5 linked regions of the Bombyx mori genome follow. The protein of the gene in region 2 binds, or shares a complex with, the protein of the main gene of each other region. Links are inferred from orthologs where the notes say so. Each region holds a gene or a part of one and is shown on either strand. Other genes may lie near its edges.

Region 1 (6,796 bases), on a different chromosome or scaffold from region 2:
GATAATTTCGATATAGACATTTCGCTGTCGGACTTCCTTACTAGTCGCGGCGGCGAACGTGAGTACCCGTGGCCTGCAAACGGTGCTGCGCGAATGGTCGCCTCGTCCACCGCTTCGCTGTTCGCACCGCCGATCCCCGTGGCCAGGCCGTAAGGTTGAGCTCGTGAATTCACCTGTTGTTTTTTATTTCTTAGATAGGTGGATGAGCTCACAGCCCACCTAGAGAGAGTATTAAGCGGTAGGCAGCGGCTTGGCTCTGCCCCTGGCATTGCTGAAGTCCATGGGCGACGGTAACCACTTACCATCACGTGGGCCGTATGCTCGTCTGCCTTCAAAGGCAATACAAAAAAAAATTGTGTTAAGTGGTTCCTGGAGCCCATAGACATCTTTGACGTCAATGCGCCACCCGCCTTGAGATATAAGTTCTAAAGTCTCAAGTATAGTTACAACGGCTGCCCTACCCCTTAAACCGAAACGCATTACTGCTTCACGGCGGAAATAGACAGGGTGGTGGTACCTACCCGCGCGGACTTACAAGAGGTCCTAACACCAGTAAACCTACCAATCTGCGAGTAGCTGGAATAGCCCCTTAGGTTACCAGCGATTAGGTATGTACTTACCAAAAAAGCCTCGAGGTGTTATACTAGATTCATCGAGCGAGCAGACGAGTTCACGGGGCTCAGCCTGGCATATTTGCCAACACTAGTCCTAACCAGACCAGTGCTTGGCATAATCTACCACCGAATAAGAAACACGACTTACTGAGAAGATCCAGCGAGAAACTCAATGGGCTGTATCAGGGGGTTATTTTGCTTGCCGAACCCTTCGTGGCATTCGAAGAGTTGAACGAGAACGGTGACCGGTGCTTGGCAGTGCCTAAAATCACCTATAGTGAATCGGAAGGATTCGAAATGACATGTTTTGGGTGACAGCGAGCGTTTACCGTTCGGTCTGCAGCATTGGGTATATCGGTATGTACTACTTGCCGGCGGCCACAATAAAAGTGGATTATCGTATCGAGCCATTTTCTCGAAGTGGTGCTCATACACTGTCATCATATACGGAAGTATGGAAACAAGTTCCAGGTCATCGGGAAGATCCACATTCCTCACGAACCATGGTTCTCCGACGGCTATCCTGCAAAAACGGAATGAAATGATTTTAAAGGTGTTTAAGTTAGTGCAGGCCGCGTTATCTCGGCGTGCCGTGCTCGAGGCGTGGTCTCGCCGCCTGGCGGACCCCGCCTACGGGCGACGGACCGTCGAGGCGATCCGCCCGGTCCTCTCGGACTGGGTGAATCGCGACCGAGGACGTCTCACCTTCCGAGCGACGCAGGTGCTCACGGGACACGGCTGTTTCGGTCGCTACCTGCACCTCGTCGCCCGGAGGGAGCCGACGCCGAAGTGCCACCATTGCAGTGGCTGCAACGAGGACACGGCGGAGCACACGCTCGCGTGCTGCCCCGCTTTCGCGGAGCAGCGCCGCGTCCTCGTTGCAAAAATAGGACCGGACTTGTCGCTTCCGACCGTCGTGGCTGCGATGCTCGGCAGCGATGAGTCCTGGCAGGCGATGCTCGACTTCTGCGAGTCCACCATCTCGCAGAAGGAGGCGGCGGAACGGGAGAGGGAGAACTCTTCCTCCCTCTCGGCGCCGTGCCGCCGCCGTCGAGCCGGGGGTCGGAGGAGGGCGTTTGTCCAGCTCCGGCCCCTATGAGGAGGCAGTCTCCTCCCGGTGATGGTCACGGGGCGACCTAAGGGGGCTGAGACTGCGCCGCACGCTACCGTCACTCTAGCGCGCTGGCACCAGGAGGACGGGACGACGCGTCGGCGGCTGCGGACTGCGATGCGGTCCGCATTTTCGTCGTCGCTGTCGTCGCCGAACATACTGTGGAAGAGCAACCCGGTCGGCGGTGTATCGCGTTCCGACCCGGCAGGCTGGTTCTGGCCCAGCGGGGTATCCCGGAACACCAGCGGCATCGCCCGGGCGGCCTGAAGGGCCGCCGTACCGCGGAGACTGACGTCGTTGGTCGTCGACTATCGCCTCGACGACCCGTCGGTCGGGCGTCCTCGGGGTGGCGCCGCGTGTCTGGTTGTAGTGTTGACCGCGGGAACCCCCCTACTCTGACCGGGTTTTGACCCCGGACGGAGATCGGACGCCGGGTGTAAGAGTGCAGGGGAGTCGTTTAGTGGGTGGGCCTTAAATTCCTTGGGCCCGCGGTCTGCTCTCAACACCTGCAGATCGTTGAGTCTCACATACCCCGCGCGCCCCCTAGGCGTGGGGACCTCGTAGGATGTTCGGCCCTCGGCCCGGAAAAAAAAAAAAAAAAAAAAGGCCGCGTAAGCGAACACTACACTTTCATAGGTCAAGACCAGACGTATGCAAGTTTGTTGAAGATGATTAATTTGAGACATTAATCAGCTGGGATGAAATTAAATGAAATGAAATGAGATCATATGGGATGAAATATAATCTCAGTAAAATGGTGGTCATTTACTAAGATTTTTTCAGTGAACTTTTTGGAGGATCCCGAAAAGTTACGTCCAGCGACTTTGTTTCATTTTCCCACATTTGTGCACTTTCACAGATATTAAACAGTTAATAAACCAACATTATTACACATTTAAACCTGAAGAAACACTAAATAGACAAAATAAAACAAATTACACAACTTCACTCCTCGCGTTCCCGCCAAAAAGTCCTGGCATAACTTCAGTTTCAGTGATAGATGGTCACAGACTACTTTAACGAGTAGTTTTGAAAGCTTGGTCCATAGATTATTATTACCAATCATAACACCAATTTTATACAAAAACAAATACATTACATTACAGAAATCACCATCTGGAACTGTTAATAAAATGGCTGCAGTTTTAAAGAAGAGAGCCCTGGCAGAATACAATAAATCATTTCAGGTTAGTATAATGCAGTTAGATAGTTTTCTATATTTGAAAGTGAAATGTCTAATGAAATTAACCTAACTCTTCACTACAATATTTACACCAAAGGATGCTCCACCATCGAAGAAGCTGCATTTGGCAAAGAAGCCGTTAATAGGTAGTTCTGCTGCTGCCTTTGTGGGTCTTCTAGAGAAATGCAAGTCCAGCGATGAAGCGTTGCAGTTTTTACTCAGAATATCCGACTGTCTTCAGTTCCAAGAGTCCGACGTAGAGGAAGCAATAAAGAAGTTGTCAAAACATTTTCAGTCGGAAGAAGAGTCTGTAGTCAGAGTAAAAATACTATGGCTTTTTTGTGACATAGGCTTGGAGGTTCCCTGTGCAAACTTGAATAACTTGATAGATGAAACCATACATTTAATAAAAAACGAAACGTCACACAAGGTAATTTTATTATATTTTTGTATTTGTTATAGACTGTTAGTGGTTCAATGTTCACACATTTAGGTTTTACTGGAGCTCTTATGCTCTGTGAATTCCACCACCCTCTTTGAAACTTGAGATTGTAATTTCAATTGTTAGCAGGAAAGTATAAATCCTTCTCAGTACCTAAGGCTCCAACATTCTCAACATTTTACTATTTTACAAAGTTTTTTTTTTATGTATTATGTTATAATTTTCTGTACATTGCAATTGCCTGAAGTGTTAAAGACACAACGTAAATAATACTGCTTTTACATTTACATTCTATTGTTTTTGACTTTTAGAATAAATTACAATTTTAGTGTTCAGAGTCATCCTTAAAACTAGTTTTAAATATATCTAAAAATCACGAAAACTGTAGAAATACTGGATGTGATCAAAACAATCTATTCAAATTAACAAATAATGTTATGTCTTTACTTCTTTAAAGCAGATAAATTAGTAAATAATGTAGTAGTAATGCTTTTCTTTTGTTTGGTAAGGTTTTTGCTGCTGATATTTGATAGATTTTTTTCTACAGGTTATCGGTCAAGGAATAGCAACACTGACAAAACTTGCCAAGAAATTGAGTGACGATAAAATTTTAATGATGAGGCTAGTTGGTGTTGCTAAAGACAATTTGAAAGATACTAGCCATCAGGTGAAATGTAGGTGTCTACAGCTCATCAGTGAGTTGTACCCTATACATCCGGACTCTGATAGAACATCTGAGATGACAGCAGAGGCTGAAGCTATTGTAAAACTTCTTGGAGATTATTCTAATTCTGAGGTATATTGTATATTCATAATTTGGTGTAGCTGTATAGTCATATTTTATAGTACAATAATTTAAATGTTTTGACTGCATAGTTATTATAAACTGCTGAATAAAAAGAAAACAAAGAAGTAATATAAATACATTATTTCAAACACCATGCATCACTTTAATTATTACTCATAGAAAATAAATATATAAATCACATAGTTTATTAACATACAAAATATCAGGTAAGCAGAGTTAGGATTGAAAACTTTCTGTTTAAAAACTTTTTTAATTTAGGATGCCAGAGTGCGTTGTGAAGCATTTCAAGCACTGTTAACACTTCATCAAAGAGGACAGATCTTAGGATCTAATTTGTACGAACATGTTTGTGTTGCTCTGTCCGATGACTATGAAATAGTAAGAGAAGTTGCCCTAAAGTTGATTTGGGTACTTGGAAATAAATACCCAGAAAAGTAAGTACTCTAATTTTTTTTTTTTTATTCTTTAATTTTAAATTTATTAGTTCACACACTAACTTGTAAAGCTATTATTACCTAAAGTTTGTAGAATAATAGATTGCACATTTGAATGCCCACCATCTTTAACACTAGATTTACCAGCCATTTAAATATACGTATTTCTACCATAACCAGTCAATATGACTGGTGTATAAAAAAATGCTTAACTGAGTTTCCAGTCTTTATTCACTCTTAAAAAATGGTAAAAAGAATTCAACAATATAAATTTTTATACAAAAATGGATTTATGGACATTTTCAAATAACAAAACACTTAATTTTTACAGTTTATCGCTCACAATTTCTACAGATGTAGATTTTGCTTTTTGTACACTTTCCGCATAGACTTTTCTTGCATTTATTGCAAATATTTGTAGTCTTATTGTTATTGCAATATCGTATTTGACACCATTTGCGCACAGAAACCGTGCCAGCGGTAGTTGATATATCAGCTTCGTGTAGTTTTTGCCTTGAAGTCTGATATTCTGAAGCAAGTTCTTCTGCTAATCGAAACAGAAAGTCTTTCCGTGAGATATTTTCCTGTTGTGTTTTTGTATAATATCCAGCTATTTATTCCGGCTAAATCTAAAATATTGAAAAACACTTGAAGTGGCCACCTTCTGCAACCAGACTTCACCGTATATTTTCGTGCCATTTGATCAGTCACATCGACGCCAAATTTAGTTTTATTATAAAACAATACAGTTTCAGGTATTTTTTAGCTGCTTTATCAATTTTGATGTTTTTATGTTTTGTACTTAGTAAAAGTACTTTTTTATTACCACATATTTTGTTTCTACATCAGACGCTAACCAAAATTTGATGCCAAATTTATGGGGTTTGTTTGGCATATACTAAGTAAATCTGCATCTGGCCTTCGTTGGAAAAAGTTGCTCATCCACAGTAATAGAAGCTCCCGGTTTGAAGCAATTTTGACTGTTTTCAATAAATTTATCCCAAACTGCTGAGACTAAAGCGAACTTGTCTGTTTGCAAACGTTGACTCCTCTGATTTCTTTTATCGAACCGAATGTATCGTAAAATATCTGTAAAATCTCGTCTACTCATAGTGCTAGAAAAAAATGATGGTCCCCATTTTTTATTCCACAAATATTGAAGTCTCAAAGTATTTCCTTCGTATGCCCCACGTGCGTACAATATTACAAGAAATGCCTTCAATTTTTCTTGCGTGATTATCCAGGTTTTCCCCAAAACTCGAGAGGCTTCTAGCTCTGTACAAATTTTCGTTTTGACATTTTTAGGGGCTAAGGATATGCAGGCTACTTGCTGAACAACATATATTTGAATATTTTTCAAATACTCATAAATGTTTATTACGTGTCACTGTATGGGTAAAGATGAATGATTACGTTTGGAGATCGCTTGGACTAAGTACTCGTAAAAAAATCGTATAGATACCGTAATCGCCTAAATCGGCTCGATAACGATAACGTAATGAACAAAAGAAGCATGGGCACTATTTGTATTTTCACGGTCTCATGATTCTCCCGAAATCATACATTTCTTCCTAGAAACATGCACCAGTCATTTTGACTGGTTCTGGTATAAATAGTTATAACAAAAAATATATTTGTTACTAACATTATATAAAGTAAAATTAAGTTCATAAAATGTATTCTCTACTTATACCTACAAAAGTTATAACATCAATTTGGAAAGCAAATATTTAATGTAGTAGTCATTTTGAATTGAAGTTGCACGACCAGTCAAAATGACTGGTCTGGTAAATCTAGTGTTAATTAAGCAATTGTAATAAAGTTAATATGTCGGCAACTTTTTTTTATTAAAAGTAAATAAGAATAAAAAATTTCAGTAAATAAATAAGTATATATAAAATATTTTAAAAGTCTGCCAGACTGTCGCTCCCTTCGAGAGCCACCAGGAGAGTTTATTTTTATAGTCAAAAAGTATGTAAAACAACACTCGTTTTTTTTTTTAAATAATGTTATTGACTTTCTTTGCAATAAAAGTCTTACATTGTTTACATGATTCATGATCACCATAACTTTTAAGTTCTATTTCAAACGTTTTTTAATGTTATTATTAATTGATTATAATTAAGTGAAATAATCTTAATCGTATATAGATTCGTATGTAAGTGATAATTGTTTAATCACAATTACAAACCCAACAATAAACA
Region 2 (6,617 bases):
CGCCGCCCCACGCGCCCTCTGCGCTCAGCCCCGAACTACATTGATTCTACTCGCATTTTGTGAACACAACGCTCTTTGTCTCTTCTGTACGGTAATTTAATTTGAATTCGAAATTGCTGAAAACAGCTTTGCTTTCAGTATTTATCCTTAATGAGGTTTTTTCAAATCCGAGTTATAGAAATACATAAACTTAAACTCATTTGTGTCTTAACTACATAATAATATGTACATGCAACATATACCTACTTAAATTGGGGACTACTGTCCGAGAAATTGCTTATGAAATTGTATATTTTTAACTAATATACCTACTTGATCGTTATGTATCCCTTCCACTGGTTTAATGTTTCACCTGTTTCTCATTATGGTTCATATCTCAGTGTATTAGAAAAACTTCGTTAGACTTTAAGTACTTACTTTTATAAATGTTACACATTTAAAAGTTACCAAAAAAGGCAATACCAAAATAAAACCCAAAAAATGGCGATTGTGCCACATGCCTACGTTTTGATTTTTGTATATGTTTTAGATATGTATAAAATTAGAAAAATTATAAAAATGAGAATTTTTTCAGCTTCCATACATTCAGCATTTTGTTAGTAAAATAAAATAAAAGTATATCATACATAGGTATAAGTGGAGCCTAAATCAGTTAATAATACTTCTATGGCGTATTTGCAGTCGGATAAAATTAGTGGCGAATTGATTAGTTCTTTCCTTATTAATCTCATTCTAATTCTCATTCGGTAATTTTAACATTTTTTTGTACTTTTAATCTCTAAACACATTTTATTTACAACTTTTTAATAGTACATTGTTTTTTATAGGATAGAATGGCAGATGAGTTCACGGTCCACCTGTTATGTGCTTATCGGAGGCCAAAGACAGCATAACGTGAATGCCTCTAGGTATCCGTCCTGAAGCACGAGTACCTACTACCTATCAAATGTATAGTAGAACGGGTATCCCATCCTTTAAACCGAAACGAATTACTCCTTTGCGCCAAAAATAAGCAAGGTGGTGGTTCCTACTGTGGTATGAAAACATATCCTACTACCAGAAAAATATAAATATAAAGTATGTTCGAATATATAGGTACTTTACTAGTAATATATTTTTTTTACATTATCACAAGTAACATATCTAACACATGTTCTTAATAGATTATCAATACGATGACGTAAAATTGTTTAAAAAACAAAGAAACTTAGCTGTTGCCAATTGATACCAAAAATAGGCTACACCATTGCACATAATTAGCGTTACGAGCTCACAATACAATTATTGCACTATGATTTTATTACGCCCCATTACTCCTTCATAGCAGTCCGTGATCTTACCTATACCCAATTGTATCGAGTTCTACGATTATGCCAAGGCCTAAATCCTGCGACAGGTAGGTATAAATTTCTATAGAAAATAGTCGTGGCCTAAACAATAAGACTCAATAAGTCGCCCAGTGTACTCGTATCACGCGAGATAGAATATCAAACAAGATTTTATTTTATTTATTTATCGTATGGCATTCGTTTACACTGCGTGGTTATAATTTAAATTTACATTTTGTGAAATAATCGATAGCTTCTTCTGTTACATTTTTGAGATCTTCCACTTGGCTTGCGAATCTCGTTAGTGGGCATTCCATGACAATGTGGCGTATAATTTGCTCTGGGCATCCGCATTCGTTTTCCGTCCAGCCCCATCTCTTCCGCAGTTGATTACAGTGACCAACTCCCGTTCTCAGGTGGTTAAGCACGCACCAGATTGGGCGTTTTTCTTTGAAACCAGGTGGGCGGGAGTGTGGATTCAGCTCGAACAGTTCAGGTGGAATACATCTGGCTGACCATTCTTTAAGATTGAATATGCCGATGTTCAAATTCCGCAGACACGTATCATTTTCCGAAAGAAATATTTATTTAACTGAACTCGTTACGAAGGACTTCCGTGTTGAAAATGAAATAAAAATCAAACCGGTAAATTAGTTCAAAAGCACGCATCGCACGCTCGCATTTTAGTTTAAATCGTAGGTCAGCCACCATTATAATGCAATTGCTCGATATTGTTGGCCTATAATAGCAGAACACTATCTCGTCAGAGATAGTCCCCAACTTCCCCGTCTGTCCCGTCTTCCCAACCATTGAGGACTATAGGATTTACCGAAAAGCAGTTAGATGCAAATTTTGTGTCCTCATATTAAGGCTATCCGTGACCGCATCGTGTTTCTATTTGGCAGACTTTACCCGATGATCTGCAAGCGGAGTAAAATGTCCCTTCGTAAAAGGTGATACTATACAAAACTAGCATAGGTACGGCTAAGCATTAGCATATTAGCATATATAATATGCTAATGTAGAAACGTCTTATAAATATTATAATAATAACAATAAAAAACACGAGATTAAGCCTAAAAGATAGTTTCGATTCAGGATCGCCGCCGTAGGGCCTTGCGCCGAAATAGTTGCAGAGCGGAGCGCTATTTCGCAACTATTACGGTGCCGCGACGCAGCGGCTCGGCGCCATAACTTTCTCATCATGGCAGCCGCTAACTGTGCTCTTGATCCAGCTCATGCAAAACAAACTTACCCTTAACGTGTCCCAACAGATCTACCCGATCCACTATCAGTGCTGTTAGACGCTTTTTCGTGAAAATTAGCTAATAGAATCAACCTGCTTAATTTCTCGCCAAATTTTCTCACTATGCCGCGTTTTTGACCGAAATCTATTACATTATTGTATATTATTATTATAATATATTAGGTATTAGGCCCTCTCCGGGGGTGCTTCCTGCAGCTGTTAGCACACTTTTTCCTCCTGACTGAGCCTTACAAATTTAAACCTGAAGAAACACTAAATGGACAAAATAAAACAAATCACACAACTTCACTCCTCGCGTTCCCGCCAAAAAGTCCAGTCTCAATAAATAACCACCATTTTACAGAGATTATAGTTCATCCTATATCATCTCATTTCATTTCATTTCGTTTTCATTTCATCCCATGTTTCATATCAATCAACATAATTTCATTTCATAATATAATTTTGCATATAAAAAAGATTTCATTCAAATTAAAATAAGACTTGTCTTAAAGGTCTTAGTTACCAGGTCATAAAATCCCTTAAAAAAGGTGTTTGTATTTTAGTGATCAACAGAACTTAATAATTGTGATCAATTTGCTAGTTCAAGTATCTACTATGTTTATGTAGATTTGTGTTTTACTCCCAACATTAATATTAAAAGCTTGTGATGTGTTATAATATACTTTCATAATGGATATTGAATTCATGAAACCAGTTCAACCACACGTTTTCAAAGCCCTAAAAGATGTTGATATTCCGGGTCTTATGAAATGTAGTCCTGATGAAATAAGACCCATAATACCATGTCTTGTCCGAATGGCCTTGATATCTCCATTAGATATCACCAGATACTGTGCAGAAGCTAAGAAAGATATACTTACACTACTTTCAGGCATTGATTTAGTAAATTTCATAGTTTCACTTCTATCTATAGAATTTCATGTTCTAGAAGCAGATGTAAAAAAAGAACAACAAATGAGGTAAATTTTTTGCTTGACAAAATTAAGTTGAGAATTAATTAAGTCTAATACTTCTTAACCTGATTACCAAATTCATTTTTGTTTTCAGGCAAAAAAGTGGATCGCAATGCATTGAGTCAACACTAATTCCAAATATAATTAATGGTATTGCAAGTGATTTTGAACAGTCTGATTCTTCTAGGAGGGTTCGCCTTGTTCTATCAGAACTATTACAAATGCAAGCACAATTAGTTGAGTTCAATCAGACAAAAAATACAAATGCGGATTATACAATTAAGCCCTCTGAATTATTTGATAATGATGTGTATTTAGAAGAAATCACAGATGTTATATGTATAAGTTTAGCTGAAATACCGAATTTACTAAATATCTGTGATGTGGTTGAGGTTCTCCTTTATGTAAATAAGGGCCCTTCTATAATATCATGGGTGGTAGCAAATCAACCTGACATGTTGCAGGAAGGTAAACATTTTTATTACAACTTCTCTTGGTTGTTCCTTCATTGTTCAGAATTGTAACTTTTTTTATTTTTTTATTGCCTTTGTAGGCAGACGAGCATACGGCCCACCTGATGGTGAGTGGTTACCGTCGCCCATGGACTTCAGCAATGCCTAGGGCAGAGCCAAGCCGCTGCCTACCGCAGAACTCTTCTGTTCTGCAGTCTCACTGTTTCTCTTCATCTATTCATATCTTTTGCTTGGTGGAGAGCTCCATGTTCCAGCATTTCTAGCTGCTGAGTAACATGATCAGACCATCATTTTGATGGAGGCTCAAGCCTTTCAGGAAGGCTCTGTTTTGTTGTTAATGATGAGCCTTTCCAGGTTTTAAGGGTTCCTGTGAACTATGTAACGAAATTATTGCAGCACCTGATGTATACACACAATTGACAGCTGCTTATTGCAACATACTATGACAAAAATCTTATACTATATGTATAATTCTGTTTTTTAAAATATGTCATGTAAATGCTAAATGTTGCCTTACAGTAGCGGAATCACTTGTATTAAATGCTGAACGAAGTGAAGAAGGTGGCATCAGAGCAAAGGCATTAGCTACCTTATGTGCTGTATTTCCACCTATTGCTGCCACCATAAGAGCAAAAGCAGCATCTGCTTCACGTCTACCATCTTTAGTCATTAATTTAACCTTGACTCACCATGAAGATGATCTTGTAAGTTATTATTAAAATCAATTTATTAAGTATAATAATAAATATTGAACTTAAAATGACATGACATGTTTATTATTGACTATGTTATGATATTTGTAATTCATAATAGCTGAGATAAGCAGTTGTGTCAATTATGTTCATTAATTCAATATGATTTCAAAGTCCTGTACACTTTGTTTTAAATGGTTCTGTATATTTTTAGGTGTCATTTATATCAGGTCTGTTACTTGGATCTGACCAAACTACTAGAGGATGGTTTGCTACATTTTTACGAAATTCACACAAAAGAGGTAAAGGTGATGGTCATGCTGCATTGACAAAGTTAAGACAAGAATTATTAATTCGTCTAAAAGCTGCCACAGCTGGAGTAGATGCTTCAGCTTTACTAAGATTGTACTGTGCATTGAGGGGCATTGCCAGTATTAAGTTTCAGGATGATGAAGTAGCTTGGTTACTAAGACTAGTGACACAGAAACCTCCCCCAACCCCTGCTGGAGTCAGATTTGTCTCATTAAGTCTATGTATGATTTTAGCATGTCCATCCTTAATGGGTAAGATTTATTTATTTTACAACATAGATAAATGGCACAACCCATCTGGTATTTAGTTGTTATTGGAGCCACTAGACATGTGCCACCATCAGAATGTGAATGCCACCATTCATTGCATGCATTGAGTCTGAATTGTATTATATAATGACTGTCCCATCTTTCAATCCAGAATATTTGACTGCTTTAGGGCTGAAATAGGCAGGATGATAGTACCTACCTCTGTAGGCTCACAATACACCCTGCTATTTACCAAGAAATTGTAAAAGAAGACTTTTCAAATTATGAGCAGTACTAATTCTAATTTAATTGACTATAATTTTAGCTGCTCCAGATCATGAGAAAAAAGCTATAGAATGGGTCCAATGGTTGGTAAAAGAGGAAGCCTACTTCGAAAGGTAAATTAGTTCTAATATTTTATTATATATTAATTCTTATTATACTTAATACTTATATAGTCTTAACTAACTTTAAGTAACTTTAAACTAAAAGTAACTTTATTAGTGTTGTTAGATTTCAGCAGCGCTTTTAACTCTGTTGACTTCGATGTTCTGCTCGAAATACTCAAATCAAACAATATCTCCTCGTCTGCTATTAACTGGTTTGATAGTTACCTTCGGGGGCGCTCGCAATGTGTCCGTCTTGACGAGACTTTCTCGGATTGGCAGAACGTCAGTGCGGGCGTTCCCCAAGGTGGTGTTCTTTCTCCTCTTCTGTTTTCTGTGTTTATAAACTCTGTCACTAGGCTTATATCTTCTAAATTCCACCTCTACGCAGACGATCTCCAGCTATATTGCCACTTCTCGGAGCCTGAAGTTGAATCGGCTATTGCTGCGATGAACAGTGATCTGAAGTCTATCAGTGAATGGGCAAAAGCCTACGGTCTGCACATTAATCCGGGAAAATCACAGGCTATCATTATAGGGGGTAAACAATTGCGCAGTAGACTCAGCGATCCTATACTCCCCCCAATTTATTTGGATGGGACTCAAATAACTCTAACCGATTCAGTTAAAAACCTGGGTGTTATTGTAGATCGACATCTTTCGTGGAGTTCTCACGTTGCTGAGATTAGTAGGAAGGTGCACTTTGCCTTGCACTCGTTGAGATGTCTGCAGGGCTTCTTACCTCAGTATACAAAAATATCTCTCGTCCAAGCTCTCATTCTACCCATAATTGATTACGCCGATGCCTGCTACTTGGATGCCACTGAGGAGCTCTCAAACAAGCTTGAGAGGATGCAAAATCTATGTATCCGTTTTATATACAATCTCAGAAAATTCGATCATGTTTCTCATTTTCGCAAAGAACTTAAATGGCTCCCTATACGCCTTCGTAGGA
Region 3 (5,123 bases), on a different chromosome or scaffold from region 2:
GGCTTGTGGGGAGTACTTAACGGTAGGCAGCAGCTTGGCTCTGCCTCCGGTATTGCTGGCGACCATGGGCGACGGTAACCACTCACCATCATGTGGGCTCGTAAGCCTGCAAGGGCAATAAAAAAAAACTGTTCCCTGACATCCTCCTTGTTCTGTGTGCCCAACTCACCTCACATGGTCTCTGTATTCTTCAGGTATTTGCAATTGTTTGATCCAATATAATTTACAGTCACACGACCAAGCGTTTCCTTGTAAGTCTAGCTTTATGAGTCTTCCAAATGGCTCCATCAATCTCTTGTCCAGTGTGGTTAATCTCGACCCTCGCACGGACAACTCTTCCAAATTGAAATAGTCGGCATCTTCTAGGACTTCTTTGCCGAAAGCAAACGCATCGAATTTCGTCAGATTCATGTTCCGTTCCAGCTCTAAAGACGTCAAAGAATGTAATGGTTCGAACATGTAGCCGGATATTTCGGTAATTTTCAAATTATTGAGTTTGAGTACTTTCAATCCGGCTAGATCTGCGAAGTCTTCACTGGATATAATTTCAATGGGGTTATCTGAGATATCTAAGTACTCTAAAGTGAATGGAAATTCGAAAACGTCAGTTATATTGTTGTTTGATATAACGAGTTTTCTAATATCGTAGGCGTCGACAAAGAAGTTGTCTGGCACTCGATTTAACTTCACGCCGCGAATGCTGAGCGACCTGATCTTCGCGGTCAAACCCAAGCCGCTTCTGTCGAACAAATTCACTCGTCGTAGCTCCTCGCCTATGTCGTTGTTGTCTAAAACGATTTCCTTCAAATTCGTCAATCGATGAAAAGTCAATTTATCAAGAGACGTAAATTTGTTGTTGGCCAAATTTAAATATTCTAGATTCTTTAGTTTATCGAAAACGTGTCCGTCGATTTTGCTAATTGAATTGTCGCTTAAGTCCAACTTCTTCAACGAAGGTAACGCCAAGGAACAGTTTAGATTGACAATATGATTGCGATTCAGATACAGCTCGACCATAGTTGATGAATCGAATATAATTGATGAATCTATCGATGTTATATTATTGTATGACAAATCTAATGAATATATCGTTTTGGGTAACGTTAAATTGACCTTGGCGTCCACGTTTCTGTGGGAGCAGTCGACTGTTTCGCCCATGTAGTCTTGATCTGCGTGTTTATAGTTACAGAAGCACGTGCCATCGCAGAGGGAATTGGCGGATGAGACGTATAGTAAAATGAAAATCGGTAACATTTCGTGGCGGCGACGGCCGGGCGCGCACTGTGGCGTGCGGGGCGCCGCGCACTCACCGCCGCCGTTATCGGCAATGCGTCGCAATTTTTGGTCATTCCACTGCGATAGTGTAATCAGTGTCAGGTCTGGATCCAGAGCGCTGCTCATTGTTGTCGCCGCTCTAGATCGAGGCTTCGTTTTTATCAATGTTTTATTGAAGTGAAACTTCTAATGCGACTTAATTAAAAGTTTAACGCTCCTGGGGAGGAGAAATAGAGGATAGGAATGGCACTCTGTGCTCTTGCGATGTCCATTGACAAATCAATTAAATAAAACCATACAACGCTTTAATCGCCTTTATTAATATTAACTTTCCTTATCGCGACATTGTTAAAAGAACATTAGCAAAATCTCAGGATCAAAACCTTCCTCTGCTGTTGTGCGAATTGGACACCTTCGGACTCGGATCGTCGTGAGCCTGGAAACAGTTCGATTTAATTAGTCTACGTACATTTTTATTACCCTTGTAGGCGAGCGTACGGCCCACCTAATGGAGAGTGATTACCGTCGCCAATGGACTTCAGCAATGCCAGGGGCAGAACCAAGCAGCTGCCTACCGTTATACTAAGTCTCAGTTCTACAGTACAACGGCTGCCCCACTCTTCAAACTGGAACGCATTTTGCTACTGTAAAAAATAGCCACTAGAATATCTCCAGTTTTTTTTTTATTGCTTAGATGGGCCGACGAGCTCACAGCCCACCTGGTGTTAAGTGGTTACTGGAGCCCATAGACATCTATAACGTAAATGCGCCACCCACCTTAAGATATAAGTTCTAAGGTCTCAGTATACCACACTTGTGTTATACATTCTCAGGCGGATCCTTAGGTCGTCTTTTACAATATCCTTGAGAACAGACGGAGCTTTCTCCCTCAAATAAACACTATATTAAAAACAGCAACTTTTCTGAAGTCTCGTTCAGTTCCTACGCGTCATTCATTTACCTTGATGACAATCGAAGTCCTGGGGCCGGTGTTCCACAGCTGGCCGCGCTCGTCCACGAAGGCCGACTCCACGGCCACCGTGTACAGTCCCGGGTTGGGCACGCTGACCAGCTGCTGGGCGGAGAAGAAGTCCCGGACGGGCGCGACCGTCTGCACTGCGGTCAGCACCGGCGGCACGTTGGTCAGCTCCACCGTCTGCGGACGACGGGGACTGTGAGGGGACGGGGGCGAGGCGCCGGAGACGTGAGCTCGAAGTCTCAACTGCTTCGCGGTAGAAATGGGCAGTACGGTAGTACTGTTACCTAATATGCCTCTCAATAATAATGCAGACTAAGACATTCCTGAATGCATCGTCATTATATAAAGACGATTTATTGTTAAAACGCCGCAGAACAGAATTAGCTCGAGTAGCGGAAACACACATCGTTTGTACTATTTCTTTTATAAAATAAATTGAATGTCAGTCACAGTTTCCTTTTGTTTTTAAAGAGCTCCTGGATCCATCTCGTAACAGTACCTCTTCATGGAGGCACAAAGCGTGTCCCAGTAAACTGAACCGTAATACATACACTTCCTTAGGAATTACTACTATTAGACTACAGACGTCCATTGCTGGACAGAGGCTTCCCCCAAACCTCGCCACGACTGGTTATGCACTGCTTGCTTCCAGCGGATCTCCGCGAACCTCAATAGCTCCTTTGTCCATCTTGTGGGAGGCCTACCCACGCATTTTTTTTTCATACCTAAGCTGATGGTTTTGAGAAACCATATCACCGTCACCGGGCTAGTAGGTGAGCTCACGGGGCTCAAACCTGACGTTTTTGCTAACACGAACCCTAGCAAGAGCCGTGCTTCGCAGAATCTACCACCGGATCGGAAACGCGACCCACTGAGAAGATCCGGCGAGAAACTCAGTGGGCTGTCTGTGGATTAATTTACTTGCCGAGCCCTTCGTCGCAACCGACAGGTTCGGCGAGAACGATGACCGGATCCACGCTACGCTTAGTATTTGTGGAGTACGAGAAAGCCTTTGATTCGATTAAGACCTGGGCCGCGTTGCAGTCTCTCCAACGGTGCCAAATTGATTACCAGTATATCGAAGTGTTGAAGTGTTTGTATGAATACGCTACTATGTCAGTCCGATTACAGGACGGGGCATTGGAACCCATCCTTCTGCAGCGGAGAGGCAGAGAGATGTTGTTTTTCCGAAACCATTTACCACCGCATTGGAGAATGCTTTCAAAGTTCTGGACTGGAACGGGCTAGGCATCAACATACAACTCCCCTTCGGGTTGTCGACGATATTGTAATTATGGCTGAAACCTTAGGTGATCTACAATGCTCGAAGACCTCAGTAGAGCCTCTATCCGAGTGGACCTTAGGAATTAATTCGTGGTATAACAATGTAATCAGTACCTTCTCGTTGGTCCTCGGATGCTGGGTGGCGGTCACCGTGATTTGGACGCCTTTAACTTGTCGCTGCTGCTGACGTTTGCTGTGAGATACATATCGACGGGTAAACAGCTATTTGGTTTAAGCGATATTCTTGAAACTTTCCAGGAGAAACATGCAGTTTAAATTTAAAAAAAAACACGACATAAAAACTTTTTCAGCTATTTGAATGGAGTAAACTTTTAGATGTGTGGACGAGCTCACAGCCCCTGGTGTTAAGTAGTTATTGAAGCCCATAGACAACCACATCGTAAATGCGCCACCCACCTTGAGATATAAGTTCTAAGGTCTCAATATAGTTACAACGGCGGCCCCACCCTTCAAACCGAAACGCATTACTGTTTCGCGGCAGAAATAGGCAAGGTGGACCACCACCGACCGTGCGGACTCACAAGAGGTCCTACCACCAATAAAGTCGTCTTCCTACAGGCGCAATAAAGAAAAAAAAAAAAAAAAAAAGCAAACACGTTCAGTAATTTCGGGGGTGTCGGCAAACAAACAAACAGACAGATAAATAACTACGCTGCAAGCTTCCGCGCCGGTTCCTAGCACTGTCTGCGGTTTTTGTTAGACGTTGATATACCTAATTTAAACCGTTTTACTGTTTAATCTCGCATTTTTGTTAACATTGAATTATTTGTTAATGTCACTACATTACTGTGAGTGTTTTAAACGCGTGAACGAACATGTGACATATCGTCGTTGTCAAACCAAAATCTGCTATGTGAACTTTTAGAGATTTTTACTTTTTGAACTTTTCGTATAGTTCACGGCCCTATCTACCGTATAAAAAAACTGTTATATGTCTATAGCTTTAATATTTATCTATAGCTTTTAATTGATATAGTTCTTAAAAATTCACCTTCATATAAAATTGTATACGAAAATGTTTTTACTCGTTAATACAAAACAGAGTTTTGGCACATAGCAGATTTTGGTTTGACAGTGACGATTTGATAAACGCGGGAACAAGTCGTACAGGGAGTTACATTTATGTGTAAGTTTCCGTTCTACATCCCCCCCCTTGTGTTTATGTAGTTATGTAGATGCGCGGACTCACGCGAGCGGGCGCGCGGGCAGTATGACGCCCTCCAGCTTGAGCGCCAGGCGGTGGGACAGCGGCAGCGCGGCGGCGTGGTCCGCGGGCGCGGGCCGCCACGCCGGCGACACGGACACGCGGCACACGGCGCCCGTGCCGCGCCCCGACCACGCACCCCGGGACCACACCGCGCCCGCGCCCGCCGCCCGCACTGCGCACACCACCGCCTCCGCGTGCTGCACACTCGCCTCGGTCAGTGATCATTACGGATCCTCCCGATCCACTAACGGTGCTTTTAGGTACCTTAAGCACCGGTCACCGTCCTCGTCGAAGCCGTCGCTTGTGACGAAGAGCTCGACGAGTAAATTAACCCACAGACACAGCCCCCTGAGTTTC
Region 4 (6,172 bases), on a different chromosome or scaffold from region 2:
CACATACCGCAAAAGAAGTTTCACTTCTTTCACATATCGCAAAAGAAGTTTCATTTCTTTCACGTGCACCAAGTTCCACGCGTACCATTTTTTATTGTTATTAATGGCTTTGAAAAGAGATCAAAAACTAAACTATAATCGTGTTCTGACGTAGCAGATATTATCGAGATACCACAACATCACTCACTAGCAGAGGGTCCGTAGCACAAGAGCTTGAGGTGCGCATGCGCTATGACGAGCGGCAAGTCCGTGCGGCGCCCCGGGGAGAACTGCAGCGAGATCCTATCGCCCCCCGGCCACCCGCCCTCGCCCTCCTCCTCCTCGGGAAAGGTATTGTTGCGGACCTGAGTTAACAGATGATTGTCACGTAATTCAATACATATTTTCCTCCTTGCGTCGGTTTCCTCATTACTGAGGGTCGTGGTCATGGCCTTGAAACAGTTTGTTTTTTATAATGCACCGCCATCTGTTCCTATCTGCAGCTGAGTGCAGAGCATCGTGCACTGTGGTATCAAGGGCTGCACGAATCTGGTCCGTCCAACGGATCGGGTTCCTGCCTTTTGGTCGCTTGCCCTCGACCTTTCCAGTGACCACCAATTTCTCCAAGTTCCAATTCAATACATATTTAATACATATAAAAAATGCATCTAAGTGAGTTTTGAAATGATTACTGCACATATAGATATGTAAAGAGAAAACAGTTAACTACCATATTTTCCTCTGTCGAACGATTTCATTTGTGTATTTAATTTTGTTTTGTAATCTAAACCCTAAGGTTTCAGTAATTATGGTCGAACTTCGATCATTATAAGAATGCACAGATAATTGAAGTACAAGTGGATACGTTTAAGGCCAGCTTTACACGACGAACCCCGGGTCCGCCAGGGGGGTGGTCCCCTCACTCTAATCAATGAGCTTGTCACCTTTTGAAGATGATCGTAAAAGAGCGAAGTGAGCGCCAGCAGCGTCCGATGCTGCTCCGGGTGCGAGGGGCCCGACGCTCCGCCGAGGACGCTGTTCATCACTGTCGACCGCTCCATCAGCACTTGGCAGAGGTCCTGTAGGTGTGAGGACGTTTGTACTGGCGTAAACTTACAGACGACTCAATGGTCCAGCTGACGTAACAAGGGTCTATAGCAGCGGTCGGGGAACCGGGGTAAATTACACCAAATGGGGTAAAATGAAATATTTGGGGGTAAAAATGAAACTTTTGTGAGTAAAAAGTATATATTGAAGTGAAACTTCTTTAGAATCGTTGTGATTTCAAACTCGATGAAACGAAATGAAATGAAACGAAAAAAAAAAAATTTTTTTTCAAAATTATCACGGTGCCTATAATATGAAAGATGCTAAAAAGAAGCGATTCCGTTTTTTTTTGTTCTTCGCCACGTGGTAATATCAACTTACACAAAAATATTTTGGGGTAATAATTAAAAAAGTTCCCCTACCGCTGGTCTATAGACATCACGGCGTGAATGCCGCCACCCATCTTGACACACGAAGTCTCAACTGTATAGTAGGCTGTTCCACCCTATGAACTAATATGCGTGATTGCAGCTTGTAGCGTGCCCTACACCAGTGAACACTATCATCGCGTCTGCAGCGACACGTACCAGCACGATCTCGGTATGCAGCTTGTGGGGGGTCTTGGCTGCGTAGCTGGCCAGGAAGTCGATGTAGGCGGCCACGTGCCTCGGGATGCATTCCACCAGGCACGCCGCCCGAATCCTCGCCACCACCTCCTCGCGGACAGACTCCCAGTGCCGGAGCTCCCACAGCAGCTCCAGCCACTCTCTGTTCCGGACAGATCCACGGTACAGTTAGCTTCTTTTCTACTGACATTGTATTACAGAGGTGTAAGGAATAGATCAAACTCACTCGGGATTAACTTCGGCGCTAAAATCCATTTCGTTCGTGTCTTCTGAGGATTGACTCAGCACCAACTTCAGGCCCTAGTGCAAAATGAATGAATGAATGAATGAATGATTTATTTATTTTTTGAATGATATTGAGCTTAATTGTTTGTGACATAGTTTTTATAAATGAAAATTATAGGAGTGGGTAATATCGGTTTTGCCGCGTATCGAATCGTATCTATATATCGAGGATCAATATCGGATATTGAATCTATATATTTTCTGAATCTATATATTGATGGATGCTAGTAGATTTTCCGATTCATTATATTTGAGATTTGAAACGTTACGCTGATATAATATCGTAGTAGATATAGATTTAAGTCAACGTTATACGGTTGGTTTTCTGATATCAATTTATAATATGATCTTAAAGTAATAAAAAGAACATGAAAATAAAAATATCAAAAAAACTTTCCTTCATGCTTTTACCAGGCTTAGGACTGGCTACATTATTTTCAGTTTTTAGTATTTTGTGTCTTAATTTAAAATTACAAAATATACCAAAAGAGTGTAGATTTCAAAAGTTTAATACAAACACAAGAAATAAACTCAATTATTTGGATTCAACTAAAAATAGAAAAATGTGTACTTTAAAAATAAAAAAAAAAAAACTTTTAAGTATTTATAAACACTTGTCCAAAAATTCTAGTTCAAGGTCAAAGCGCGTGAAATTAAATTCAACGATGCAAATAGGCTATACTGTATTCAAGTTAGGGTCGAAAGTTGAAACTTCTTTCCTAAATTGTATCCTGCTGATACGCTAAGAATAATCTACAGACTTATGGACTTAAATATAAGGTTTACAATTCGGCTGTGAAATATCAAAACCCAGTATCTGCATAAAACTAAATTTTACAGGAGAGCCGAAAAACAATTTCATATCTTTGACAGCGTGCCGTTTCAATAATATTAGTCGTACCTTCTTGAGAGTGATTGCAAAATTTGAGGTACATAACAGGCTTTATAAAAAAGTAGATTTCATGCGTCTATCACAAAAGATGTGCGTAGAGGAGCAGTTACTAATAAAAAGATTGTTCTCTTAGATCAAACTTTTTGAGTGTGACAATTTCAAAACCTAGTAAGATCACTTGCTTTGTTTTCATCTAGTTCTAAAATATAATGAGTGGGGATAAACGCAAATTAATAGACTTAGTAAGATCACTTGCTTTGTTTTCATTTAGGTCTGAATTTACTGAGTAGGAACTAAATGCAATTTTATAAACATAGTAAGAAAAAACAGAATAAAACAACATAAATATGGGCAGAAATAAGCAGTTTTAATGAAAAAGAAAAAAAAAAACACATAATCGGAAACCAAACACTATTTGTTTACAGTAAAAAATCAAAAAATAATCACTCAAAATATTTGAAAACAATCAAATAAAAATAAATTATTCGGTTATTAATAATTGTCCACTAGAAACTAAATTAACTGGATTATTATTAATCGGTACACTTAGCCAAAACTTCTTCTCCAAAACTTCTGTTCATTGGCATAAGCTAAATAAAGTTGTTACTATGCCTTCCTTTTTATTTTCGTTAATGCCTCTTGGAATATTTTTTAAGGTTGGCATGATCAAGGGATAGTGTTTTTTAATAAGAAAATCCAACTCGGAATACGGAGATTCAAAATCATTCCTATAAAACATATTACGGCACCCATTTACAAATATTACTTCAACCAAAGAACTAAGCAACAAATTATTAATGGGAACAAGGTCATCATTGCGTCGCAGTATGCGTTTCTTTTTTACCCACTCATACGATTTTTGGAATTCGATAACTTCAATATGCGATCTGCAACCCAAAATTACATTCTTATAGTCTTCAAAATCGTACACAGCATCTTTTGTTTTTAATCTGCCTCTCCATATTGCCATGAACTCCATCAGCTAACATACGTGTGTGATCTTTAGTTAGGTAGGTATTACAAAGTCAAACTTTCTAAATTGAAAAACTCAGAGATTATTACTATAGTAGATATTACTATAGTAACAAGTGATGTAAAGAGGATCCAATTTTTATTTTGAGCTGTGCAATTATCACATCACAATGTCAAATGATTCAAATCTCTTTCTTTTTCGATCATTGCTGCAATTGCATTAACAATGTCATGAGCATCTCGTCCAGAATAGGCTTCATGCCATAGAATACAAATATTATTAACATTAGTTTTCTTTCTGATTGGTGCAAATGTCAAGTTGAAAGTTATCATTCTACTCAAGAAAAACGATTCCTTGACTTTAGGCATGTCGGGTAACAACATAACTTTTTGTAAATCCATCGAATAGTATCTCACAGAGGAAGTATTTTCTAAGGAGGCATCTTCTTGATACTTTTGTATTGCTTTACTTGCTTTAGCTTTGTGATCCCCGTATGCAGTTTTAACATCCTCTGGAATATTTGCACCTTCATTTGCTTTATGTGTCGTAGTAGGTTGCAATTTTGGAAAACAAAAAACCTTGACAATAATAAATCACACTGAAGCGTACTTACATTTTACCATTTTGTTCTTTTAAAGCATTCAAGATCAATTTCGACCTACAAAACTGATTTTTACTCATTTTATAGACAAAAACACGAACGACGTGCAACGATTTTCTCACTTACTAAAGTTTCGCGAGAGTTTTGACGTTTATTTCAACAATTTCATTGACTTAGTATCTGCATGAACCATTTTAAATCCAAGTAACTACAAGCACTTATTAGGTTTTTAAAATGGTTGATGTTATATACTATGTTCTAATCTTGTAATTTTTGCATTTTGAAAACCTTTACTGTAGATACTAGGTTTCCGACTTTGTGTAACTTCGTTTTTTACAAATTTTTGGGGGTTTTTGCTATCCTAATATGTGGAGAATGGTCTACAAGGTCGAAAAATGCAAAAACACACTTTTTTTAAATTTGTCAGATACTAGGTTTTGAAATTGGACAGCCGAATTGTATGGATAATGCCTGTTTCTGTTTCATTCATCACATGATATCCCTATCGTGCGCTCACTCACTCTGGCCGATTCGATACGAACCAAACGAATATTGCTGATATTAATTAACGAATCGGTACGATATGCCGATGCGCATATCGAGCAATATCGTGTATTGGCTGATATCGAAATATAGATTTCGATTCACGAATCGGTACGATATGCCACGATGCCGATGCGCATCACATCGAGCAATATCGTGTATCGGCTGATATCGATATATAGATTTCGTGCGGGGCGATATCGGATTCAACGATATTGCTGCGATATATAGATATTGAATCTATATACGATTTATATCACCCACTCCTAGAAAATTAACAATATTTTATTTCCTTCAAAATTATGAAATAATATTTTATAATCATGATCTTCTCTCTTCCGATGGCATGCACACAACGGGAACTAAGGCAGTTGTTTCGGCCTCAATGTTAACGGAGTTTGTAGTTACCCGCGAGGCCCGCGCGCGCGTGTGCTTGTGCGCGTGCGCGAGGCGCTGCACGTAGTAGAGCAGCACGGCGCGCGCCCCGGCGGGCGAGGCCGCCAGCGTGCGGCGCACGTGCGCGCACAGCTCGCCCGCCCGCCCCTCCGCGCCCCCCGCCTCGCCCGCCTCCCCCGCGCCGCCGCCCGACGACAGGAACTCGCACAGGCACTGCACCGGCAACACGCTGCAACACCGAGGTACGGTCACTGCCACCGGGGACTTGCAGGTACAATAACTTAAATTTTTTTTTTTTTTTTGGAAACAAACAGTACAATACAAACATATAATATTTTAAAAAATATAGCTAAAACAATAACCAAATATGTTTCCACAATCAAAATCACATATAAGTAGAAAGTGAACAGAGAAGAGAAATTTAGAAATTTAAATTACAAATTTCTCTTCTCTTGTTTTTCAAAAGCAACACAATACGCACATATTATTTAAATATTACATAACATAATAACTATGTATAGTACATTAACGAATTTTTACGACGATTTTTTGTTCATGAATTGTTCATTGAATGTTTTAATATTATTACAAGCGCCATGTTCACTGGTAGACCGCCCACCTAAGTTACATTTGAATAATGTAAGTACAAATTTTAAAATCACGAACTGTTTTCAAAGAAAAAAATTAATTCCTTTCTAATACCATTGTAATTTGAAGCTCTATGACCTGAAAAGCGTCAAACGTACATCGTCTAGTAGATAAGTAGTTACGGCTCACCTCAGCTCGAGCTGGTCGTGCCTCAGCAGCTGCAGCAGCCAGGGCATGGCGCG
Region 5 (6,950 bases), on a different chromosome or scaffold from region 2:
CATGCTAGAAATGGGCTGATGGCTTTGAACTACGCCATATCTTTATGTTTTGCGACAAACGACAACTTTATAAAATCAGTGTAGCAACTTTTAAAAATCATCATATCGTTTACTTGGCAAATTCGAAGGACGAACTTGTCTTAGATTTCACCCATCTAAATCATATCATATTTGCACATAACAATATACCTACTTACTTCCCATTAAAGTATAAATTCTACAAATAAATAATACTCAACAATATTTAAAATAAAATGAGCCAAGAACGTTTATCGATAAAACCTGATAACATTGAAATCTTTTGTACAGCACTAAAGCCGCCATGTTTTGTGGCCAGATGACGTCACAGTGGCACGAAATTTTGGTTGACGTTTCATTTCCATAGGTTTCCTACTTCATTGGCTGCAACCACGGAATAGATCTATTCCGTGGCTGCAACAGTATCTCCCACTGTTTCCTAACTAGCTCCCTAGTCTCTGGTAGTTGGTTCAGTTGCTAATACTAATACTATTTTCCTAATGGAGAAATTGTGTTGATATGCCTTTTTTGTTATCGATGTGCTTCAGCTAAAAAGTAAAGAGAAAGCAGCGCTTGTGTATTGTTCGGATTACAGCAATGAAGTGGCGTCAGTCTGTGCTAACACTGCGAACTTGTCTGCTCTGTCGTCGTCTGAGGTTCACTTTGCCAAATTAAGAATCCGTATAATTAGTTTGCACCACTGAAGTATGAAACCTATCTATGGTTTGCACATGCATTTTTATAATGATCTGCTCTATTTGATTTGTAAGGCAGACAAGGCTATTGTCCATCAGGTAGAGAGCTGTGACGTTCTCTGATGACAACGGCGGTAAAGCAGCTGCGCACCGCTTTTTCCTGTACTAAATAGTCAGCGAAAGGTCCATAGAACATGTAGATGTAGTGAATTGTATTGGCATTCGTCACATTTGTTTTAATTTAATGCGGAATTATTTTCCTTATCATGAGGACTATATCTATATATATATAAAAATGAATTGCTGTTCGTTAGTCTCGCTAAAAGTCGAGAACGGCTGGACCGATTTGGTTAATTTTGGTCTTGAATTATTTGTGGAAGTCCAGAATTATTTGTGGAAGTCCAAGGTTTAAAAGGTAGATAAATATGAGAATGTTCGGAATTAAATAAAAATAAAAATTTTTGATGTGTCCCGCGTCGGACGGATTCCTTTTATTTGTTTTAAGTTTATTTTATACAAAAGTTTAGGTCTTTTATTTCTCGATTGAGGCACTACGAAGTCTGCCGGGTCAGCTAGTTATAATATAAAACCACGGATACCATATCACCACACGGATATAAATAAAATAAAATTCTTTTATAAACCGAATGCATGTATGTGTGTATGTACGTAGGCCTTTGACTGTATTCCTAACCTAGGTTTTTATGTTTAATAAACTCCGCATCCATTCACGGACCGGTTATTATTATTCGACTCGACTGTGTTATGTACTTACCTAGCGGTTGTACAGAGTTGTGTTTTTTTTATTGCTTGGATGGGTGGACGAGCTCACAGCCCACCTGGTGTTAAGTGGTTACTGGAGCCCATAGACATCTACAACGTAAATGCGCCACCAACCTTGAGATATAAGTTCTAAGGGTCTCAGTATAGTTACAACGGCTGCCCCACCCTTCAAACCGAAACGCATTACTGCTTCACGACTGAAATAGGCAGGGCGGTGGCACCGCCCGCGCGGACACACAAGAGGTCCTACCACCAGTAATTATGCAAATTATAATTTTGCGGGTTTGATTTTTATTACACGATGTTATTCCTTCACCGTGGAAGTCAATCGTAAACATTTGTTGAGTACGTATTTCATTAGAAAAATTGGTACCCGCCTGAGATTCGAACACTGGTGCATCGCTCAACACGAATGCACCGGACGTCTTATCGCTTAGGCCACGACGACTATTCTTACACTTACACTGTATACATATAAAATATATAATTACCTACAACAACGTAACAAATGTTGTGTACAATAATAGCATAACGGACTTGGATATGACTTCCCACCAACATAATTTATAATCTGAATTGACAAGTAGATAATCTAATTTTTATCACACTAAACTTGACTGGAATAACACTAGGTATATCTGCTATACAGTACAGTATAATAATAACAATGTATTTCATGGTTCATAATATATTACTTACCAAAGGTTTTACAAATAGCTTAATAAATAGACATACCCGATCCTGTGGACCGAACGGTAACAAGTCGACGTCGCTCTAAACACGTCATTACGGATCCTCCCGATTCATTATCGGTACTTTTAAGTACACACCTCAAGCACCGGTCACCGTCCTCGCCGAACCCGTCGCTTGTGACGAAGGGCTCGACGAGTAAATTAACCCATAGACATAGCACACTGAGTTTCTCTGCTCTTGCTAGGGCCAGTGTTAGCAATACTTCCGGTTTGAGCACCGTGAGTTCACCTACACGTTAGGGCGAAGCTGAAATAGCCTCTCACGGCTATCAGCATAGGTAGGAAAAAAAATGGACTAGAGAGTGATACGGCTAACTCTTTTTCCCGAGGAATGCAAATGCAACGAGTTTCATTGTTTCCGAATAACAAATTCAACGAATATGGAACCGTAGTACAAATTTTGTTAATTAATGAATTACATTTAATATCGTTTGTTTCATTTTACTTTTACACAACAGATATAACTCGTTTGTTACAAATATTTAGTTGTATGTATTGAATATGCTCCCTTTGCCTGTCGATTAAAACAATCAAATGCTTATCTGACAGATAATATCTGTAGGTAGGTAACTAGAACCTACCTACCTACATAATATAAATATATTTTGTTTAGCTATTTTGAAAGTACTTATGTACCTAATATTCATTTATTTCAATTAATGATGTTGTACAGTTATGTATTATCTATGCAATACACTGAATAAACGGTTCATCAAACCTAAGCAAAAATAATATTGAAGCCGGACAAATTGATAAAGCAGTTACTAATACATAAACATACTTTAGTAATAAACAATATTCGTCCGCAAATTCGAAATATAATATATAAACTAATAATGAAGCTTGTAAGTATGCAATATCTTCACTAATTTATTCAAAACACTTGAAAAATATGTAAGAGTTGAACTTGAAACACAAAATACAAAAATAATATTAGAATTCATACTATTAGAAGATTGTGTTAGAATTAAACCTGCAGGACGCGAAAACAAACCAAATTGCAGTGGAGTGCTCCATTTGCAAGTAGTTTATTAATATAGTAAATTATTTTACAAGAACAGCCCATACGTTTTTACTGTAATGATATCCTGGGTAGAGAGGCAGTCTCCCACATCCCCACAATTTTTACATACAATTTTGTTTAAGTGATTATTTCATAGCTTTTTGGGATATGAACCTAATACTAGAGACTAAAGGCACCACAAGATGAATGATACCTCTAAGAATTTGTCCCTCTCTTCTATTGAAGTATTGATTGCTTGGATCCAATGACTAACCAGTTAAATCGGAATGCATGATTGTGTCTGAACAGAAATAAGTAGAATGGTTTGAAATTGTCATAAATCATTCTATGTGTACTCTAAGATCACAGCTGTTATACAGGTACTATAGGGACAGAAAAATAGGTGTGGCTTTAAAATACCAGGATGGCTCCACTATTCTGGCATATCTGTTTAATTGAGCATTACCATATGGACCCCTGACTTATAAATAATATAACCAGTGCTTACCTTAAACAATGTTTGATTTGATTACAGTATTGTTTAAGCAATGATGCAGCGAAGCCTTGCTTTGTGTTGTCTTTCAAAGAGCTCCTCATAATGTTGGATTGTGGGCTGTCATCCCACTCTGTGCTCAACTTCCTACCGCTGCCTCCAGTGCCTAGCACTCGACTCGCATCCCTGCCTAATTACACACCACCACATCACAATGATCCACTCTTGGAAGGGGTATAAAAATTAAGCTTATTACATTTCTTATTATCATTATTTATATATCAGTACCTAGGTATAAAGTGGTTACTGGAGTCTCTGGTCATGACAACATTATTACCACCACCCACCTTGAAACATGAAGTTGAATTCTCAGTTGTATTGTATGATGGTTGTTCCATTCTTCAAACAAGAGGCAATCACAGCAAAAACAGACAGGATACTGAATCCACCACTAAATATGGTATAGTCAGTATGCTGCTTTAATACTCACAGAATGCTTATTCTCTGGTGAATCCATTAGGTACAGTCTTTAAGCAAAAAAACACATTTCATCAATTAATTATTTTATATACAAACATTAAATTAATAAAAAACTCAAAACTCCTCATTAAAATAATTTTTAAACTTATCCAACTGTATCTCTCAGTTACATTACACGTACCTTCCAAACTGCATTCAACAGATTTCTGATATAAAAAATCAAAGGGACTCATATTTTAAATCTGACTCCAATGCTATGATTAAAAACCCTATGTCAAATAAGTAATAACATGTTAAATTTAATGATATTTCTTTATAATAAAAACAGAATCAATATCAGGTGATATTTAAACTAACCCATCTCATTACAGGAACTAAAGGAGTGTTGCGGCAGAGTGTTTGTTGATAGCATGCCTGAGTTTTGTCCGCCTCTCGATAAAGTAGTCGATTTTTCTCAGCTAGATGTAATTTTAATCTCAAATTACACTTGCATGCTGGCCCTGCCTTTTATAACAGAAGATACAGGTTTCAAGGGCCAAGTGTATGCCACTGAACCTACTCTACAAATAGGAAGGTATTCATTCTCTATTCTTTTTATGCCTTCAAAAGTATAATGATAAAAAATATACATTTCTGTATTGTATATATGGTTATAGAGTATATAACAACACCATATTATTGTAAACAGAATATGCTTATTGAAAGTACAGTATCAGAATGGATTGAAGCAGCAGAAAGATGTAATAAAGATAATATATTTGGAGGTTCTACCTGGAGGAGCTGTCGGAGTGGGTGTGCTCAAGCGGGTCGGGGTCGGGCTCGGCCAAGCGTTGGAAGGAGGCGGTGCACGTGCTGCCCGCCCCCCTCGCCGACGTGGTGCGGCCCCGCGCGTGGCGCCGCCTGCTCGCCCCGCACCACGTCGCCCGCGCCCTCGCGCGCGTCCGCGTGGTCGGCTACGACGAGAAGGTCGACCTGTACGGCGCGCTCGACGCCACCGCCGTCAGCTCCGGCTTCTGTCTGGGCTCCGCCAACTGGGTGCTGCGCTCCGCCCACGAGAAGGTCGCCTACGTGAGCGGCTCCAGCACGCTCACCACGCACCCGCGCCCCATCAACCAGGCGGCTCTGCGGGGCGCCGACCTGCTGGTGCTGGCCGCGCTCACGCAGACGCCGGCGCACAACCCGGACCACATGCTGGGCGACCTGTGCGTGCACGCCACCGTCACGCTGCGCGCCGGCGGCTCCGTGCTGTGCCCCGTGTACCCCAGCGGCGTGCTGTACGACCTGCTGGAGTGCCTGTCGGCGCACCTGGACACGGCGGGGCTGGCGCACGTGCCGCTGTACGTGGTGTCGCCGGCGGCCGAGGCGTCGCTGGCCTACAGCAACATCCTGGCGGAGTGGGTGTCGGCGGGCAAGCAGGCGCGCGTGTACCTGCCCGAGGAGCCGTTCCCGCACGCGGCGCTGGTGCGCGCGGGGCGGCTGCGGCACGCGCGGGACCTGCACGACGACTCCTTCAGCGCAGACTTCCGCCAGCCCTGCGTCGTCTTCTGCGGACACCCCAGCCTGCGCTTCGGCGCCGCCGTGCACCTCGTCGAGCTGTGGGCCTGCAACCCGCTGCACGCCATCATATTCACAGGTACGCAGCCCGCTCTCCCGGCTCGATTATGGTTTAGGGGACAATTCCAACTGGTCGCGGACGAGTAAATGAGCACATGGGCTCTACCAGAAAGAATGTGCCAACACTAGTCCTAGCAATAGTAGTGTTTCGCAGAATCTACCACCGGGTCGGAATCGCAACCCAAGAAGTTGAAGGTACTCAATCTACCGCTGAGTTAGTAAACCTGGTAAGTGGGCGCCGCGCGAACTGAACGATCGTTCGCGCGACCAACGCGTCTAGGTGCCAAGGTACTTCTCTGTGTAGAAACGGAAGGGATTTTGAACCGCATTGTCACTTACAATGAAAAATAAATTCTTTTTAATAATCGTAAGCCGTCGCCCTGTTAGTTAGACCCTGCTTTAACCTTGGCGTTGCCACAAACGAAAACACCCCTACAAGACGATTAGGGGAGGAGAGGGTTGGAAGTTTTTCAGTCATTAATTTGGTAGCTAAACACAACACAGCACAATTTCCGACACTTACCAACCAGCCTTCCTGAAGAGTGGTACCTCCGTCCTAAGAACTGTCATTCGTTTTCGTTTACTACTTAACGTCAAGAGAATATTTCTAAATTGTTCTAAGACAACAAACGTGATTGGTGTGCTCAATATTCCTCTTAGCTCGATTACCCTAATCGCCCCTACGATGTCTGACGATGGTGTTAATAATTGTCTTCTCCGACAAATAATAAAATGACTTTATTTTTCTGTAAAGTAGCCGGCAATTTTTTTTATTGCCCTTTTAGGCAGACGAGCATACCGCCCACCTGATGGTGAGTGGTTACAGTCGCCCATGGACTTCAGCAATGCCAGGGGCAGAGCCAAGCCGCTGCCTACCGCAAAATGTTGTACCTATTCGTACGTATATACTGTAGATATCAGATATCGATGAACCTGTGTGCGCTAAAATGTTTTCTGCTGTAACCGCTACTGTACCAACACTGTTGGCTCGGGTAGTTCTCTTTTTAACCTACTCCAAAAACCTCCATTAAGAAATCGAATATCATTAGAGAATGCAAAACACAATTGTTGTTAAATAAATAGTTTATGATAACGAGAGATAATGAACGATA

Evidence for each region.
Region 1: integrator complex subunit 2 (region 2) and integrator complex subunit 4 share a complex: the UniProt entries of both Homo sapiens proteins name them as parts of the integrator complex. The link is inferred for Bombyx mori from reciprocal best matches to the Homo sapiens genes INTS2 and INTS4.
Region 3: the proteins of integrator complex subunit 2 (region 2) and integrator complex subunit 7 are in contact, whole or in part, in a cryo-EM structure (PDB 8RC4), measured with the Homo sapiens proteins. The link is inferred for Bombyx mori from reciprocal best matches to the Homo sapiens genes INTS2 and INTS7. Residues at the interface, in NP_065799.2 of Homo sapiens: Gln27, Lys28, Val29, Cys48, Arg51, Met52, Cys55, Ala56, Ala58, Asp59, Gln60, Ser61, Trp64, Phe92, His93, Ala186, Glu187, Pro189, Ile194, Val218, Asp220, Ser221, Asn223, Glu224, Ser259, Leu262, Lys263, Arg265, His285, Gly294; in NP_056249.1 of Homo sapiens: Leu38, Gly39, Glu40, Cys42, Glu43, Val46, Arg47, Asn77, Phe78, Leu81, Cys82, Leu84, Lys85, Gln88, Gln89, Asn114, Asp115, Pro116, Val117, Ala120, Ile121, Arg124, Val153, Glu156, Val159, Phe160, Ala163, Leu195, Lys196, Pro199.
Region 4: the proteins of integrator complex subunit 2 (region 2) and integrator complex subunit 1 are in contact, whole or in part, in a cryo-EM structure (PDB 8RC4), measured with the Homo sapiens proteins. The link is inferred for Bombyx mori from reciprocal best matches to the Homo sapiens genes INTS2 and INTS1. Residues at the interface, in NP_065799.2 of Homo sapiens: Pro40, Leu54, Lys69, Leu72, Arg73, Leu75, Ser76, Gly77, Val78, Glu79, Val81, Asn82, Val85, Gly125, Thr127, Leu128, Glu131, His132, Glu166, Val172, Tyr173, Glu176, Arg322, Gln325, Gln326, Arg329, Gly400, Lys402, Thr769, Met772; in NP_001073922.2 of Homo sapiens: Gly561, Ile562, Ala563, Trp564, Asp565, Lys566, Gly567, Ser982, His1055, Met1056, Thr1058, Pro1060, Glu1095, Arg1096, Thr1098, Ile1099, His1102, Leu1107, Arg1225, Ser1250, Phe1251, Gly1252, Ile1253, Tyr1285, His1288, Glu1291, Val1292, Gln1293, Glu1295, Arg1296.
Region 5: integrator complex subunit 2 (region 2) and integrator complex subunit 9 share a complex: the UniProt entries of both Homo sapiens proteins name them as parts of the integrator complex. The link is inferred for Bombyx mori from reciprocal best matches to the Homo sapiens genes INTS2 and INTS9.

Annotation. Positions count from the first base shown.
Region 1 is NC_085121.1:12,654,784-12,661,579, reverse strand, and holds the start of integrator complex subunit 4, read left to right. Parts: upstream 1-2,736; 5' UTR 2,737-2,858; coding exon 2,859-2,912; intron 2,913-3,005; coding exon 3,006-3,338; intron 3,339-3,897; coding exon 3,898-4,146; intron 4,147-4,416; coding exon 4,417-4,592; intron 4,593-6,796. UniProt on the Homo sapiens protein: Component of the integrator complex, a multiprotein complex that terminates RNA polymerase II (Pol II) transcription in the promoter-proximal region of genes.
Region 2 is NC_085110.1:8,304,848-8,311,464, reverse strand, and holds the start of integrator complex subunit 2, read left to right. Parts: upstream 1-2,973; 5' UTR 2,974-3,267; coding exon 3,268-3,557; intron 3,558-3,645; coding exon 3,646-4,019; intron 4,020-4,543; coding exon 4,544-4,728; intron 4,729-4,930; coding exon 4,931-5,279; intron 5,280-5,601; coding exon 5,602-5,674; intron 5,675-6,617. UniProt on the Homo sapiens protein: Component of the integrator complex, a multiprotein complex that terminates RNA polymerase II (Pol II) transcription in the promoter-proximal region of genes.
Region 3 is NC_085129.1:14,682,956-14,688,078, reverse strand, and holds the end of integrator complex subunit 7, read right to left. Parts: intron 4,964-5,123; coding exon 4,749-4,963; intron 3,732-4,748; coding exon 3,653-3,731; intron 2,432-3,652; coding exon 2,237-2,431; intron 1,712-2,236; coding exon 1,652-1,711; 3' UTR 1,576-1,651; downstream 1-1,575. Other genes in the region: TLR4 interactor with leucine rich repeats, read right to left, coding at 170-1,401. UniProt on the Homo sapiens protein: Component of the integrator complex, a multiprotein complex that terminates RNA polymerase II (Pol II) transcription in the promoter-proximal region of genes.
Region 4 is NC_085131.1:780,342-786,513, forward strand, and holds part of integrator complex subunit 1, read right to left. Parts: coding exon 6,120-6,172; intron 5,572-6,119; coding exon 5,355-5,571; intron 1,953-5,354; coding exon 1,879-1,952; intron 1,795-1,878; coding exon 1,614-1,794; intron 1,059-1,613; coding exon 924-1,058; intron 345-923; coding exon 188-344; intron 1-187. UniProt on the Homo sapiens protein: Component of the integrator complex, a multiprotein complex that terminates RNA polymerase II (Pol II) transcription in the promoter-proximal region of genes.
Region 5 is NC_085111.1:140,396-147,345, reverse strand, and holds the start of integrator complex subunit 9, read left to right. Parts: upstream 1-2,793; 5' UTR 2,794-3,084; coding exon 3,085-3,093; intron 3,094-3,786; coding exon 3,787-3,978; intron 3,979-4,595; coding exon 4,596-4,798; intron 4,799-4,988; coding exon 4,989-5,857; intron 5,858-6,950. UniProt on the Homo sapiens protein: Component of the integrator complex, a multiprotein complex that terminates RNA polymerase II (Pol II) transcription in the promoter-proximal region of genes.